4 linked regions of the Xenopus tropicalis genome follow. The protein of the gene in region 4 interacts with the protein of the main gene of each other region in a pairwise test. Links are inferred from orthologs where the notes say so. Each region holds a gene or a part of one and is shown on either strand. Other genes may lie near its edges. The genes, in order: syp, coq8a, ric8a and sh3glb1.

The links.
Region 1: the proteins of sh3glb1 (region 4) and syp interact in binary tests that used the Homo sapiens proteins (3 or more experiments, as listed by UniProt). The link is inferred for Xenopus tropicalis from reciprocal best matches to the Homo sapiens genes SH3GLB1 and SYP.
Region 2: the proteins of sh3glb1 (region 4) and coq8a interact in binary tests that used the Homo sapiens proteins (3 or more experiments, as listed by UniProt). The link is inferred for Xenopus tropicalis from reciprocal best matches to the Homo sapiens genes SH3GLB1 and COQ8A.
Region 3: the proteins of sh3glb1 (region 4) and ric8a interact in binary tests that used the Homo sapiens proteins (3 or more experiments, as listed by UniProt). The link is inferred for Xenopus tropicalis from reciprocal best matches to the Homo sapiens genes SH3GLB1 and RIC8A.

Annotation. Positions count from the first base shown.
Region 1 is NC_030684.2:23,923,862-23,927,850, forward strand, and holds part of syp (synaptophysin), read right to left. Parts: intron 3,254-3,989; coding exon 3,129-3,253; intron 2,962-3,128; coding exon 2,766-2,961; intron 2,514-2,765; coding exon 2,313-2,513; intron 2,102-2,312; coding exon 1,805-2,101; 3' UTR 1,801-1,804; intron 1-1,800.
Region 2 is NC_030681.2:7,734,747-7,738,735, forward strand, and holds part of coq8a (atypical kinase COQ8A, mitochondrial), read right to left. Parts: intron 1,000-3,989; 5' UTR 981-999; coding exon 801-980; intron 1-800. UniProt on the Homo sapiens protein: Atypical kinase involved in the biosynthesis of coenzyme Q, also named ubiquinone, an essential lipid-soluble electron transporter for aerobic cellular respiration.
Region 3 is NC_030683.2:110,857,235-110,862,013, reverse strand, and holds the start of ric8a (synembryn-A), read right to left. Parts: upstream 3,116-4,779; 5' UTR 3,057-3,115; coding exon of another isoform or gene 3,048-3,056; coding exon 2,964-3,047; intron 1-2,963.
Region 4 is NC_030680.2:106,586,408-106,590,396, reverse strand, and holds part of sh3glb1 (endophilin-B1), read left to right. Parts: intron 1-3,234; coding exon 3,235-3,368; intron 3,369-3,989. UniProt on the Homo sapiens protein: May be required for normal outer mitochondrial membrane dynamics. Required for coatomer-mediated retrograde transport in certain cells. May recruit other proteins to membranes with high curvature. May promote membrane fusion.

The sequences.
Region 1 (3,989 bases), on a different chromosome or scaffold from region 4:
TCCCTTAGACTGATTTGGCAGCTTATCGGCCCGTGTATGGGCACTAACGACGGGCCTGCTGACCGACATCTTGCCTGAAATCGCACAGATCTCGATTGGGCAGGTTTAAAAATTAGTCGGATGAGGGACCACATTGGCTCATTGATGCCTATACCCGTCATTCTAATTCAATCGTTGGGCCCCAGGGCCAAACTACCGAATTAGCCCGATATCATCCACCAGTAGGTGGGGATATGGGGAGAAGATTCGCTTGCTTTGTGACTTCGCCAAGCGAGTGGATCTTAGCGTGCACCTTAAGTGTGAAGACTAGTAGTAGTAGCTACTACTAGTAGCAGCTACTTGGCTACTAAAATAGACAATGCTGATCATTTACTGATAACAGTTTTAGCAGAGGCAGTTCTCAGTATTGTCTATGGCAGGTTATTTTCTGGCGTTCAGTAGCCGTGACAAGTAGCTCCTACTAGTAGCTTTGTTTGTCTTCACCCTTAGTCATTTGGCAGGTGGGGCCAAAACAACCAAAACCAACCATCCACTCACCTGCTGCTACCCCAGGGGCCACCACACCCCCTCTGGGGCCCTTGCTGCCAGCCAGCTCACCGTCAGCCCTTTCCCCTGCACCTTATGCTTACTTTTGCCACAATCGGGGGGAGGGCAGCAGGGGAGCAACAGGGGAGAGCAGGCAGGGGTCAGGTCTGGGTTGACGGGACCCACCGCATTTTTCTTTCAAGTGTCCCACTGGCCCAATCGGCCCCTGTCTATAACTCACATCTGCAAAGCAGATATTCTTGCCAAACAGACTGGGATCCAATCTGATTTATGGACAGCCTAAATAAAGATGGCGTCCCATTTATGTTGCAATGGTTGAGAAGTAAGGCCAAACTGCCCAGATATAGTGCTCAAAACCATCAACCCCATGCATTGAGAAGCAGTCAATGTCGTTTAATTCCAAGCTTGCCTCTGCAGTGCATCCCAAATTCAGCAGGAGTACTTACATCTTTGAGTTCTGAAGGAAGTTAAAGGGGTGGTTCACCTTTACATTAACTTTTAGTTTGTTATAGATTGTCCTATTCCTAGAAACTGTGCAGTTAACCTTCATTATTTATTTTTTATTGCTTTCAAATTACTTGCCTTTTACTTCTACAACTTTCCAGCTTTCAGATGACAGCCACAAACTATTGCTTTGTGAGCTTAAATTTTTTTTATTATTGTTACTTTTATTACTCATCTTTCTATGCAGTCCTATTATATTCCCAGCTCTCATTTGAACCACTGCTTGGTTGCTGAGATAAAGAAAGCCCTAGCAAACAGATACCTACTAAAATACCAAACTTTAGGGCTGTTGAACAAAAAGCTTAATACCTGGAGAACAACAAAAAAATAAAAAATTATTGCAAATTGTCTCAGAATATCACTGTCTACATCATAACAAACGTTACTTTAAAGGTGAACACCGTCTTTAAGCTGTGAAGTCTGCTGTCTATGAAACAGGTGGCATATAGCTAGAAGGAAAAATACTTCTGATGGAGTGGATGGGACAAATAAAAGAGAAATGAGCATTGCTTCTGTACATATAGAGGGGTATAAAGAAAGGCAAAAATATTTTGCCTTTGTCAATCCCTAGAGGAACCAGTCTAGCCTAACCTGCTGACAGATGATTGCAATGTGTTTACCACCACTGGCTGCTCCTAAACTGCAGGAGGGAATGAATATATTGTATTCTTTAGGCAGGTTTTGTTTTACAGCCCAGTTTCATGACACCCCCCACACGCTTCCCCTATTCCTGTTCATGAGGATACTTACCAGCTCACATTTGATTTGAGAAAGAGGTAGGGACCCCCTGTTGACTATATCCCCCTTGGCTGTACCCCTGCTGATTGTAGTCTGGCTGTTGGCCATAATAATCTGGCTGGTAGCCACCTTGTTGTTGTCCGTAGGAGTCTTGCTGCCCATATCCCTGGCCTCCTTGACTGTAGGCATCAGGGGCTGGCTGTTTCTCTTGTGCTGGAGGGGGGTATTTTATGAAGGGAGCTGTCCATCCTGTCTCTTTGAAGACGAACCACACATTTCCAAGCCAGAGGATGCAGTTCAAAAATCCAAAGGCCTAAGGAAAGGGAAACGAAGGAGGATAGCTTTTGCTTCATCACCAAGAAAGGCCTTTGCTGACATTGGCCTTAGTGGTTGACCAGTGACAAGGGAACAGTATAGACAGACCTTACTATGACTGTCCATCATCCTGACTACTGTTGTCACTGCATGTAGAGTAATAATACATATAATACAAGATGGAATGAAAATGCGCCACAGTTACTCACCACAGAGGTATTGAGCCCAGACATAACAGGGTCCCTCAGCTCTGAACACGTCATATCATATTCTGACTTCCTGCATTCTGGGATCTGAGTCTCAATCACCAGCTCTGGGTCAGTTGCCAGCTTTATATCGGACAATCCTTTGGCCCAAGCGCTGGAACTGACCAGCCACATGAAAGTGAAAATGGCTGTTGCTATACAGTCCTGAAATAAAAGGAAACAGGCTGAATGGTTACTGAGAGAATAGACTATGCTGGTATCATACCCTGATGTTCTATAAGGCTTATACTAACACACTATTGTTGTAAGTACACATGAAAAATTTGGAACTGCCAAGAATGAACTTGCAAGACTTGTTGAGAAGTGACCAAAAAAGGGCATTGGGATACAGAGATCATATTGCCTTCTGCTTTCTAACTCAAACTCAGCTTGCCCCCCCTGTACAACAATACTTACAATCATTGGTCCTTTGTTGTTCTCACGGTATTTGTTCTGCAAGAAGATGTACACAGCCAGGGCCGCCAGTGAATATAAAAAGGAGAATACAGCAATTGTGACAAAGAACTCAGCAGATGAAGAGTAATCTCCAACTAAAAAGACCTTCCTAGTGGCACCGCGGCATGTTGGGGCATCAAAATATTCCTGGTGCAGCCTGTGTGACAAAGGAGAGATCAGTAAGATAAGAAGAGAAATTGTAAGCTTTAGCTTTGTGAATGAACTTGAGGTCCATGGACAGACCAGATCTTCACAAGCTGATTTGGTATGGGCGGGGTCTGAGTTTAAAATTGTAAAGTCAAAATCCACCCAGAAATCACTCACCTAAAAGGATATTCAAAGTCGACTTTAATGTTCGGCTTGCTCTCATTTTTGTTCTTACAGTCAATGCTAAGACTGAACTGTCCAGAGTAACCTCCACATGTTGCAAAGGCAAAGATAGAGAAGAGCTGTAAAAGAGAGACAGGGGGTATCCAGAAAAGGCCAGGATGACCCCCAAGAGAATGCATGGGAGATACAGGGCAAATAAGAGAGACTTGTTTTTTCTTTGCAAGAAGAGAGAAAGGTTTATATTTACAGAGAAGAATTGGGTTAAACCAAAGGATTGGGGGAGAAGGTGGAACAAGCAGGGAAAGGAGGGAAAGAGAAAAATCAGAAGAGGCTTTAAACCAACAAGACAGTAGGGATCATTTATCAACACTGGGCAAATTTGCACATGGGCAGTTACCAATGGCAACCAATTAAATTGTTCCAGTGAGATAAACTTACAGTAATGCATTTCTAGTAAATGTATCCAGAATCAAATGAGATTGTGAGCAAAGTGATCCTGGAAAGAAGTGGAGCAACTTGCATAGGGGCTCCTGGAAAGATATAGAAGGAAGGGAGTGAGGTGAGGATGAATTGGCAAAGAGGTGTTAAGAAAAATAGGAGACCTTAGGGAGATCAACGAATGCTCTTGCAAGTTAACTGACTTATATTCCATTAGGATTCTTTTTATTTTGGGCATGTAACTCCATATCCCCAACAGGGGTCCTAAAATAAAAAGGGCAAACGTTTACTGAAAGATATATTTATAAACTAAAAAATACCCTGCCTGCTTTTGGGAAACAACTCTTCAGCTTCCCTATCTTTGTAGCCAGTTATAGAAAACATAATTAAGAAAACATAATTCCAAGTAACTTTCAA
Region 2 (3,989 bases), on a different chromosome or scaffold from region 4:
AGCAGGGTGACTGTTACTGAAATGTTTTCCTACATTTGTATCCTTGACTTGAGCTAAAAGGGAGTCTGGCAAAAGGGGGTGCTTCAGAAGCCTTCTGCCTTGAGGGTGCCCAAGGTACACGAGTACCTCCCTAATGCGGTGAGGAAGCAGCAGCTTTTTCACTCCAGACTCAAACTGCTTTCATCTAACATTAAATTTGCTCATACAGCATTCCGGAATGTGGTTCTGGCTTACTTAATAGTTCACGGTCAGCTGCATAAAGAGAGAAGTTCAAGTTATCTGACTGCAGACAAGACTTCTGAGTCTCACTCACCGCCACAGGGTTGCTGTACTTGAATACGTACACAGCATCTCTATGGCAGAAAACACATTCATGCAACAAATGACGCGCTGTGTGGGATTAACCCCCTGAAACAAGCAGCTTGTGTAACAGTTTCTATGCTTGATATGAAAAAGGCAAAGTGATGTACTGAAGCCAAAGGCTGCACTGGATTTGGATAAACACTGCACTTTGTCAAGAACCCAAACCCGACGTCAGCATTTCTTGGCTTGAAAAAAAATTCCCAAATGAATAATGATCCTGCTTGGAAAACTGAAAATAAGTCTGTTAGGCAAGAAGCCCCTCACAATACATAAAAACACACAAATGTCCTTCCTGTGGTGAAACTAGAACTATAAATTCCATCTATAGAAGTATGTTCTGAAGATGCACTTAGAAGGAAAAACACTTATCTAGGGGCACATTGGGCTTGAGTAAATATCTATTAAAATGACAGGGGGACCATATAATGGGTACTCACCTGCATCTTTCCCATAGCAGCACTGAAACGCTCCTCCACTGCTACCTGCCAACTCCTGGCAAATCCAATGCCATTGACTCCAAGTGTCGGCTGGCGCAGCTGCCCTGCCTGCACCTCCAGTACAGCCTTGCTCAGCTTGGCCAGGCCTCTCATCAGCATCAGTGCGTCCCCCGCCATCATTGCTTATCCTTTCCAACGCCTGTTGGGAAAAGCAGATATGGGTTAAACCAAGAAGGAAAAAAGGCCCACATAGAAAAAACAGTATGGATCCCATTATATAAAACTCAAGTAAATTAGAGGTATAATTTTGTATAAACAGCATAACTATACTGACCGTGAAGTAACACAGCTGACAGACTAAAGGGCAACCAAACCCACTACTCCCCAAGACTCACTTTCCCTTGGAATCAAAGCAAAGCACTCGCAGGCACCCCACACTTGCAATAACTTGCCATAAACTGCACCACAGAGAATTTATGGGCGATAATCCCAGCCATGGGTGACACAGGGCGTTTTGTTTGTGACATGAGTGCGAGATCAGTGGGAGACTACGCAAATACTTTTACGTAATGGGAATCAGTAACAACGCTGGCAAAGTGAATAAAAGGGATCCTTTTTATTTTTCTCTGGAGGGGGGGGGGGGGGGGATAGAGATTAAAGGGATGGAAAGAAGCCATGGCAACTATGGTTCAGAGTGGTGAGAACCTGGGGTAAAAACAAGGTGCTACTGAAATGGAGAATCCCTGGTACAGCAGAACTGCCCAATTAACTGCCCCATTTACAGCAGAGAACCTTAACTCGACTGGAACAAGATCTTCCCTGAAGTGCTGGGGTTTGTACAATAGGGACAATGATTGCCCCTCGTCTAACATCAAGTGCCCCCTCGCTGAGATGGAGAGTATAAAATAGAGAATGGGTTGTTTAGCATATAAATGGAGACTTACGCACACACAGCCGGGTCATAATTAGTGTTATTTTCTTAATTTCCGTCACTGCATGGAACAATGAAATAGAAGTGGCATCCCCGAGTCAGGAAGCAGGGCACGCATACTGCCAGAACGGGGATTCAGCACAAACACTGCTTTTGCATAATCACCAGAAAAATGTATTTTCTAAGCAACTTTTTAATATACAGGTATAGGACCAGTTATCCAAAATGCTCGGGACCAAGGGTATTCCAGATAAGGGGTTTTACCGTAACTTGGATCTCCATACATTAAGTCTACTAAAAAAAAATTCAAAACATTAAATAGGATTGTTTTGCATCCAATAAGGATTAATTATATCTTAGTTGGGATCAAGTACGGGTACTGTTTTATTATTACAGAGAAAAGGGAATCATTTAACCATTAAATAAACCCAATAGGGCTGTTCTGCCCCAATAAGGGGTAATTATATCTTAGTTGGGATCAAGTACAGGTACTGTTTTATTATTACAGAGAAAAGGGAATCATTTAACCATTAATTAAACCCAAAAAGGACTGTTCTGCCCCAATAAGGGGTAATTATATCTTAGTTGGGATCAAGTACAGGTACTGTTTTATTATTACAGAGAAAAGGGAATCATTTAACCATTAAATAAACCCAATAGGGCTGTTCTGCCCCAATAAGGGGTAATTATATCTTAGTTGGGATCAAGTACAGGTTATTTTATTATTACAGAGAAAAAGGAATCATTTTTAAAAATTAGAATTATTTGCTTATAATGGAGTCTATGGGAGATGGCCTTTCTGTAATTCGGAGCTTTCTGGATAATGGGTTTCCGGATAAAGGATCCCATACCTGTATTTAGAATCTTATTCGATATCTGTAACCTTGTTAAGCACTATGGGGTTCCTGCCAAAGGTTTGACCTCCATGAAGCACGCCAAGTGTCAAGTTGCATTTTCAAGCCATGGGAGCTTGTTATAAAAGTCCCCCCCTTCAGCTACTAGTACAATATATAAGCTGTACAGCACTTTAAACTGCTAAAAAAGCAAACACAGGTGTGCAAGAGCATCTAAAGCGGTCGATAAAATATTCTGCAATATTATTCACTCAAAAGACCACAAACCATTAAAAAAAAGCAAAAATAAAACCATTCAAAGGGGACATATTTAACAGTGCGTTTTGCAATGAACCAGGGAGTCTCCACGATCCAAGATCTACTCGCAAACAAAGGATTCATCCAAACGACTGGGTAAATGGCACCCACTGGCACACAGGGCAGATGATGGGCATCATTTTTTATACAAATTATTTCTGTGCAGAAGATAAGTGATCAGTGTTCCTCTGTGGGTCAGTGTGACCTGCTTGTTCCCACTCTTCTCTCCTACATTTACAGGACCAACTTATAAAATTCCGACACATGTTCAATACACTGACACTGTCCTCCTCCCCATGATCCATTGGTTTATGCACCATTGAAGGGACACTGCCATGATATTTATGGGGCACTTTTTATTTCTAAATGACACTGTTACACAGCAAATAATCCCCTCTGCCATTTAACCTTTTATTCTTGAACCAACAAATGTATTTGTAGCTGTAACATTGGTGTGTAGGCGCCATCTCAGTGCCTTGTGCCTGAGTCTGAGCTTTCAGCCAGCGCTACATATTAGAACTGCTTTCAGCTAACCTATTGTTTCTGGAGGAGTCCCAAGCCGGACTTGGATTTCTTACTATTGAGTGCTATTCTGATACCTACTGGGAGCTGCTATCTTGCTCCCTTCCCATTGTCCCGCTGATCGGCTGCTGGGGGTGAGGGGGGGGATATCACTCCAACTTGCAGCGCAGCAGATAAATCAATCTAGCTAAAGCCGAGCATACACGTTCAATACAAAAACTGCATTTTGTATAATATTGGCGCGTGTATGGGCAGCTCAAAGCAATAAAACGTACGTATCTGGCCTAAATAAAATATCCATTTCCTCCTTATGAATTTTATAGAAGGAACCTTAGCATCTATTTTATAATCAGGTCCCGCTTTGTACTTTAGAAGCAATGGAACCACGGATCAGAGAAAAAGAACAATTACTGTATATCCCGGCACATACATTTTTAAACACATGCAAGCCAATATTCTAGGCAAGTCTTTCTGCTTTAGGGGTTGGTTTTGGGCTTCCTGATCACCGTTCTATTCTAGCTTGGAGCCAAGTACTGAGAGAACCCAGTTTGTAGGATTGGGGCATCCCAGGCTCCTCAGTCAGCG
Region 3 (4,779 bases), on a different chromosome or scaffold from region 4:
TACAATAGTATCAATTATAGGAAAAATAAAGCCTAATTAATACCACAGCATGTCACATGGCACTTTCTCAGTCGGTACATTTTCCATACCAGGCATTTGCCATTAAACTCAATGGGTGATCAACACGACTGGTCAAAAAAATAAAAAATGAAACTTTGCTTGTTGACATGTTTGTAAATTTTCCCCATGTGTGTGGGTTTCCTCCAAGATGCTAAAAACACATCCTGGGCCCTGGTATAACTAGCCATATTGCATGTATGTTACTGGTACCTATCAAACCCTGTTTAGCTAGAGCCACACAAGCTGAAAATAGCTAACAGTTCTGGAACAACATAATAGTCCCTCTGTTCTTTGCTTTAACCATAATTTTATCTCCCAAGAGGCCCCTCTGATGCTGTGTAAACACTTTTATAGCCAAATCTAAAAATCAGGGGTCACATGTAAGGCTAAGCTCTATCTGATATAGCCTGAATCCGTCAGGAGCTGGGGCAGTACTGGTCAGGAGCTAGGGCAGCATAGTGATACTGGCAGGGATGCACCCAGGAAATTATTGTTGACATCCATCCTGGAATCACTGCTATAGGTGTTACCACACTTGGTCCAGCCAATAGGGATGCCAATATTTCATCCTGAACCCCCACAAACCTGCAGGTAAACCATAGGTTTTAGACCTGTTTGTGCATCACTAGTGCCATGCTCTTTAACACATTCCCTATTACCTTAAGGGTGAAGACACACGGAGCTACTAGTAGCAGCTACTTTTTCACAGCTACTAAACGCCCAAAACATACCCTGCCATAGACAATACTAAGAATTGCCTCTGCTAAAACACATGTTGAGACTGTTATCAGGAGATGATCAGCATTGTCTTTTAGTAGCCACTACAAGTAGCTGCTACTAGTAGCTCTGTGTCTCTTTACCCTAAAAGTTATTACCAAGTTTGCATGTTTACATAGTTATGGCCTCAAGACTAGGTCCAGACTGAGTTTTAAAGAGCCCCTGGCATTTCAGGTACAGAGAAGCCCAAACAGACCCCTTTAGGCCTAATAAATAGCGACTTTGGTCCCTGGAAACTTAAAGGGCATGTCAAACCTCAAAAATAAAAATTTGCCTAATGAAAGAAAACATAATTCTAAGCAACTTTCCAATATGTTATGGCATGTATATGGCAAAGTTGCTTAGAATTCAGCAAAAAAAACCTATATTCTGGGTTGTCCTTTAAAGCAACCCCTATGGCATTTGCCAGTCCAGCTCAGTTCACTTATAGGCTGTCTTAACATGGCGCTCCCCAACAATGTTTTATATGGCAATATTTAATGAAAATTATTTTGACCCAGAGTGCACAACTAAAATACCCAAAACATCTTCAAGGGAAAGTATGTCCCCAAACTGCATAGTTGGGTTGGAGGCTGCCAGATTTGGCTGTGTCAGCCATTGTTTCTGGTTTCAGGATCAGCTTTCACCACTCATGTATGTATGTATGTATGTATAACTTTATTTATAAAGCGCCACAAGGGTACGCAGCGCTGTACAGTCTTACTCATGCTTCTGCTAGGCAGTCAGAACCAGGAACCCGGAATAGATGCTGGAAAACATGGCAGCCCCCAACCAAAATTGTTCTTTCCAACTTGCTAAAAGCTGAGGCACCTCATATCTTCTCTTATAAACTCACTATTATATACCTTCCTATAAACTTACTGCCTTGGCTCATATACCCCCCACATACTTTCTCTTGGCATACCCCCTCAAATACCTTACCCTTAAAGGAAAAAGAAAAAGGTAAAAACTAAATAAGCTTTATCAGAAATGTCTATGTAAATACAGCCATAAGCACTCACAGAAACGCTGCACTGAGTTCTCTGTCAAAAGATTTGTTGTGTCTGTTTTCCTCTGCCAGAGATAAGCAACTCTCTCCTGCTCCCCCCTCCCTCAAGAATGCTAAGAACTCTCTCCCCCCCTTAGGAATGTGGATCTGAGCCAATCAGCAGGAAGCTTCCTCATAGTCTTACTAACTGAGCATGTACACTGGTCTTGCGCTTGGTGCAGGAGTGAGGCATTATGGGAACTTTCTTTACACAGCTCAGCGTCTTTTCTTCCTGCTTGGCTTCTGATCATCTGAACGGGAGAAATATGGGGAGACTTAAGGGCACTATTGAGACAACTGAAGGTATGCCTGCAGCTTGAGATTAACTCTTTACTAGCCTTTCCTTCTCCTTTAAATACCTTCCCCTTAAATGCCTTACCTCATTTGCCTCCCATATATCTCTTCATACACCTTGCCTTACATACCTCCCATCAATGTTCCCTCTCATCTGTGCGCCCTACAGACTGTGGTGCACACAAAGAATTTTGTATTTATTCTGACCTGAGCACACTGGTTTTAAAAATCCACACACAAGTTTCAAATTTGTGCGCAAAATCTTTTTTTGCACACATAATCAAAAATGAATTTGAGGGAACATTGGCCCCCATATACCTGCTCTCATTAACTCTCATGTACCCTGCCTCATATAGCCCCTTATACTTTCCCATCACTAACCCCCAGCAAATACCTTCCCATTATATACCTCCCATATATGTCATATATATACCCTGCCTCTTATATACCCCCAAATACCTTTCCCTCATAATATTTATATTATATACAATAAGCTCTCCCACCAGCTCTTGCTGAGAAATCACTAGCAGCATAACAAAAGAAATGGACCTTAGAGCTGCAGCTCAACAACAACAGATGGAGGGCCCCAGATAGGAGATATTACAATTACTACCACAAGACACAAATGGCAGCAGTACATACGGTAACTATCTGTAGGGTTTCAGTGAGCTGCTGTTCATTGCCTCACCCACCCCCACTATAGGGTCAATGAGCCCACCAAGCACACGCTTCTCGCTCAGCCATAGCCATAGCCAGCTCAGACATAGCCAGCCCAATCATAGCCAGCCCAGCATCCCCGCCTCACCTCTTGGTTATACTCTGCCAGCGCCTTTTGCACCAGCTCCTGGTCGCCACTCTCCAGCTTGTCCAGGAGGGTACCCGGATCCATGGCTGGCATGGAGGCTGCTCGCTGTGGCTGATGCAGGAAGTAGAAGCTAAATGTGATGAGACTGCTGCTACTGCTGATGCTGCTTCTGCCGCCGCCGCTGCTTTCTCTTCTGCTGATTGACACGGTGACGTCAGAGCAGGGCGGAGCCCGCACCGCAGTATTAGTATGAAGCCCCGCCCACACAGGGCTCACACAGGCGGAAACGTGAGGGGGTCTGTGGCACCTGCTCCTGTGGGAGACCAGGGAGGCTCAGCCAATAGCCACTGAGCCTTATTCTGCTTTATTCCCGCCGCAGCCCGTCTGTGTGTCCATGCATTGGGCAGGGCAGGCTTTAGGCCTTCAGTATATACGTCGGGGGTCCAACCTATAACGTTAAAGTAAAATGTAGTTGAACAAGAGCTTATGGGTTGGCATTTTGAGTATACAGAGGCCTAAAACAGCCCCCTACCAGCCTGATATATAGTGAGCCCCTTGGCGTTTGCCTATTATAAAGGCTTAGATTTTTTATTTGTGTAGAGAGAACAGCATTTACAGTGGTGTGAAAAACTATTTGCCCCCTTCCTGATTTCTTATTCTTTTGCATGTTTGTCACACTTAAATGTTTCTGCTCATCAAAAAACGTTAACTATTAGTCAAAGATAACATAATTGAACACAAAATGCAGTTTTTAAATGAAGGTTTACGTTATTAAGGGAGAAAAAAAACTCCAAATCTACATGGCCCTGTGTGAAAAAGTGATTGCCCCCCTTGTTAAAAAATAACTTAACTGTGGTTTATCAATTTCAATTTTCAATTTCAATATCAATTTCTGTAGTCACCCCCAGGCCTGATTACTGCCACACCTGTTTCAATCAAAAAATCACTTAAATAGGAGCTACCTGACACAGAGAAGTAGACCAAAAGCACCTCAAAAGCTAGACATCATGCCAAGATCCAAAGAAATTGAGGAACAAATGAGAACAAAAGTAATTGAGATCTATCAGTCTGGTAAAGGTTATAAAGCCATTTCTAAAGCTTTGGGACTCCAGCGAACCACAGTGAGAGCCATTATCCACAAATGGCAAAAACATGGAACAGTGGTGAACCTTCCCAGGAGTGGCCGGCCGACCAAAATTACCCCAAGAGCGCAGAGACAACTCATCCGAGAGACCACAAAAGACCCCAGGACAACATCTAAAGAACTGCAGGCCTCACTTGCCTCAATTAAGGTCAGTGTTCACGACTCCACCATAAGAAAGAGACTGGGCAAAAACGGCCTGCATGGCAGATTTCCAAGGCGCAAACCACTTTTAAGCAAAAAGAACATTATGGCTCGTCTCAATTTTGCTAAAAAACATCTCAATGATTGCCAAGACTTTTGGGAAAATACCTTGTGGACCGACGAGACAAAAGTTGAACTTTTTGGAAGGTGCGTGTCCCGTTACATCTGGCGTAAAAGTAACAGTATTTCAGAAAAAGAACATCATACCAACAGTAAAATATGGTGGCGGTAGTGTGATGGTCTGGGGTTGTTTTGCTGCTTCAGGACCTGGAAGGCTTGCTGTGATAGATGGAACCATGAATTCTACTGTCTACCAAAAAATCCTGAAGGAGAATGTCCGGCCATCTGTTCGTCAACTCAAGCTGAAGCGATCTTGGGTGCTGCAGCAGGACAATGACCCAAAACAAACCAGCAAATCCACCTCTGAATGGCTGAAGAAAAACAAAATGAAGACTTTGGAGTGGCCTAGTC
Region 4 (3,989 bases):
TGATCATCTTTCCTTCTCCTTTAAATGCTATCTGTGGATGTTCTCCCATCCTTAAGAAGTGTGTGTGTGTGTGTGTGCGTGTATATATATATATATATATATATCCAAAAAAGACCAGCAACACCGAGTTATGTTCCAAAAACAATCAATTGTGTATTAAAAACGCATGAACAGCCAACGACCTTGAGAAAGGTCCCGATGGGGACCGAAACGTAACGTTGGCTGTTCATGCGTTTTTAATACACAATTGATTGTTTTTGGAACATAACTCGGTGTTGCTGGTCTTTTTTGGATATTTAAATCATTTACCTTGCACCCGAGCTAAGAGCTGAAGCAGAGTGCCTAATTTTGTAAATATTTACTCCTGGCAGGCTCAATGGAAGGGTCTTCCAAATATCCAATTTATTAGTCAGGGCTTGCATTATCGGATCAAGATTTAATTGAGTATGTGTGCGGAGGTCTTTCTATATAATGACACCCAGGTATTTTAAGCTTTTAACCACCAATTTTTGAGGTGAGTCTACTGAGAGGGGGATCTATGGTGAAGCTATTGATTTACTCTCATTTACCTTATACTATGCCTCAAAGCATGTCACTGTTTATAGTATGGCCTTCAGCGACTGTTCAAGATTGGCAAGATATAGCAGCATATTGTCTGTGTAGAGTGACATCTCAGTGCCTGCATTTAGCCTCAGCCCTTCTATTTGGTGATTTACTGGGATTTGAATTGCTAGAGGCTCTATGGCCAGCGCAAATAAAAGGGTTGAGAGGGGGCAACCCTGATGTGTGCCCCTCCCAAGGTAGATGAGCCCATTTACAAAAACTTTTGCCTCTGGTTGTGCATATAGTGCTTGCACCCACACTATTAACTGGTGCCCCAGATTATAAGTAATAGTACCTCCCAAAGATATTGCCACTAGACAGTATCAAAGGCTTTGGCAGTCTCCTCTGCGAAAGCTGTTTACTTGCTGATCCATGTATGTGGTTGGTTTGTTATGTGTGTGTACTACTCCTATTAAATATCTTGATTGAAAGATTTCCCTTTTTTGCTTGTGGATTCACAAGGTGCACATTATTTTTTATTTTTACCAGGCACTGGCAGGGGTGGTTTACCATTAAGTTAAATTTTAGTATGTTCTAGAATGGCCCATTCTAAACAACTTTTTCATTGGTCCTCATTATTTGTTTTTTACACTTTATGAATGATATTCCTTATTCTTCTAACTCTTTGCGGCTTTCAAATGGGGGTCACTGACCCCAGCAGCCAAAAAAATATTGGTCTGTGAGGCTTCTGTTTTATTATTATTGTTCCTTATTATTTCTGCACTTTATTTTCTATTCAGGTCTTCTCCTATTCATATACCAATCTTTCTCCCTAGTTGTTAAGGTAATTAGGAGCCTAGCAACAAATTGTCTCAGAATATTACCGTCTACATCATAGTAAAAGTTAACTCAAAGGTGAACAGCGGCCCCTTTAAAGGAGAAAGTTTCAGCTTCTCCATTGCAGCAATGATCAAGGCCTACAAACTTGTCACATGCTCAGTGTGCTCTGGGTAGCTGTTGAGAAGCTAAGTTAAGTGGTCATGACAAATTATCAAGCAGAAAATGAGGTTGGCCTGTCTTATAAGCTGAGGCTACAGGAATGATTATTAAATTCTGATGATAATTGCACTGGGCTCAGAGCTGCCATGTAGGAATTATCTGTATTAAGTACTAATCGGCTTTATATTCTGACATTTATATTTTATATATACAGTATATTGCGAGTCGGTCCCTAAGCTCAGTAAGTGACAGCAGCACAGAGCATGTGCAGGGAATCAGCAGAAAAGAGCATGGGGAGCTACTGGGGGCATCTTTGGAGGCACAGATCTTCCCTGCTAAAGGGCATTGGTTGCCTTGGGCTGGTACAGAAGCCTAAAATATAATGTACATCATTTCTGCCCTACTTCTAGGTAGGCTTTAGTTCTCTTTTAAAATTATTAGAATAATACTATAAATGAATACAAAATTCCTCAGCACTGTTACAGAGAACATAAACAGTATTAAAGGCAAAAACTAAGCAGTTATAAATAATGCTAATGTCTCTAAATTGACACAGTATGTCTAAGGGCCCTGCCTATAAGTTATTTTGTTCTTTGGGTCTTAAAAACAGGAATACAAACTTTGAGAAATAAGGGCTCTTTTGCATCTGTGCAAAGACTATAATTTACCTAAAAAGTGGTTCCCAACTTTAACTGAAGTGAAGGCTGTCAACTCCAGTGAAATGATACACTGTAGAATATGTGCTGTAAATTCTTTTTAATAATATACAGTTAATATAAAAGACCTTTCCTGAGGGACCAGCTTTAAACAAACTAAAAAAAGAGAGCCTGGGGTATATAGGTAAATCTGCAAGCTTTTCATGTAAAACTGCTGAATCAGCCAATAAATTGTACCACTTAAAGGCAGTAAATCCTACCCTATTGTGGCTTATGAATAACTACCAATTCCAGAATTAACTTGTTTACACCGTTCTATCTATGGAAAAATATATTCAATTTTAAAGTCTATGTAACATATCAAAATATTTTTTGTGCCTGTAACGTTGCTAAGTAAAGCAGAGTTGGAAGTAAAAAAAAACCCATTAAAGGGGTCACCATACAAAATTACATTTCAAGGACATTTTTATGAGTTTGTGGATTACTTTCTATTAAATATCAAGTGCAATGCTTCAGTAGATAAGTTTTTTCAGATTATCTAGTATGCTAAACTTTGTTTTTTCCTTCATTAGATGAGTTACCCATATTTTGTTCTAGTTGTGTATTTTGTGAACAGAATGCCTAAATCAAACAAGGTCAGAAGCATTCAAGCGACTGCAGCTTTCTGCACAAAGGACAGAAGGTTACATTACAGACTACAATAAGAGTATCCTCTATAAAATTGCACACTGGTACATGTTTCTATGAGTATTGTTTTTTTGCGATGCTGGTTAAAACCTATTCTGTGATTATAGATGGCAACATTAGGCAATCCAAGCAACTGAAAAGGAAGTTACTGCTTGGAAATCTCTGAGACAATGCAACTTGAAATCAGTGTTTTTCTATTGTATCTCTGTAAATGAAAAATTTTGTAAATAGACTGCTGAAGCAAAATAAGTTTAATTAATATGTTTATAGATTTGTACCCTGAAGGAAAAGACTGTAAGTTTTTTAATAATGCAGTAGCTGTGTTAATAAAACAATTGCTATTTTACAGGAAATGCTCTCATTAAATGTGGAGAAACACAAAAAAGAATAGGAGTGGCTCACAGAGAACTTGTTCAGACCGCAGCTATAAACTTCCTTACTCCACTGAGAAATTTTATTGAAGGAGATTTTAAAACAATGTCTGTAAGTAATACACATTCGACTCTATAAGACTTAAGACCGCCATTAAAGTTGTAGGTGTTCCTTCCTACAGTGTAAACACTAACAAAACCCTCAACAATTGTTGCTACATAATGTTGTGGCTACAACTAAAAACTGCAAAGGGTTTGTGTAAGCACTCCAAGGCTAACTTTAACTTAAAACAACAAATATGGAGGGTAGAAAATTTAGTACTGTACATTATAGTATTATGTAAGATGAAGAAGTCTTAGTCTTCCCAATGTGAATGCTTGGGGTTGACTGTCAAGCCACTGAATCTTTAGAGAACTGCTATCATAAGTTATTTACCCGTAAACCTTTGAGTGTCGCAAGTAGCTCTTAAGGGCAGTGGCAATAAATCTTCACTATTGCGGCCAACTACCATCCCATCAGCGATGGACGTTCTTGCCGGTGGGATGGCATGTTGGAGAGATTAGTCACCTGCAATAGTGAAGATTTATTGCAGGCGACTAATCTCCCCGTTTGCCACTACCCTTAGCCATGGTCATGTACTGCCATATAAACAAACAGCAGGAATAGAACAAATGTGCAATCAATTGTGATGGTACTATGGTCTTCTTATTTGGTTACTTGTGGCTCTAAATT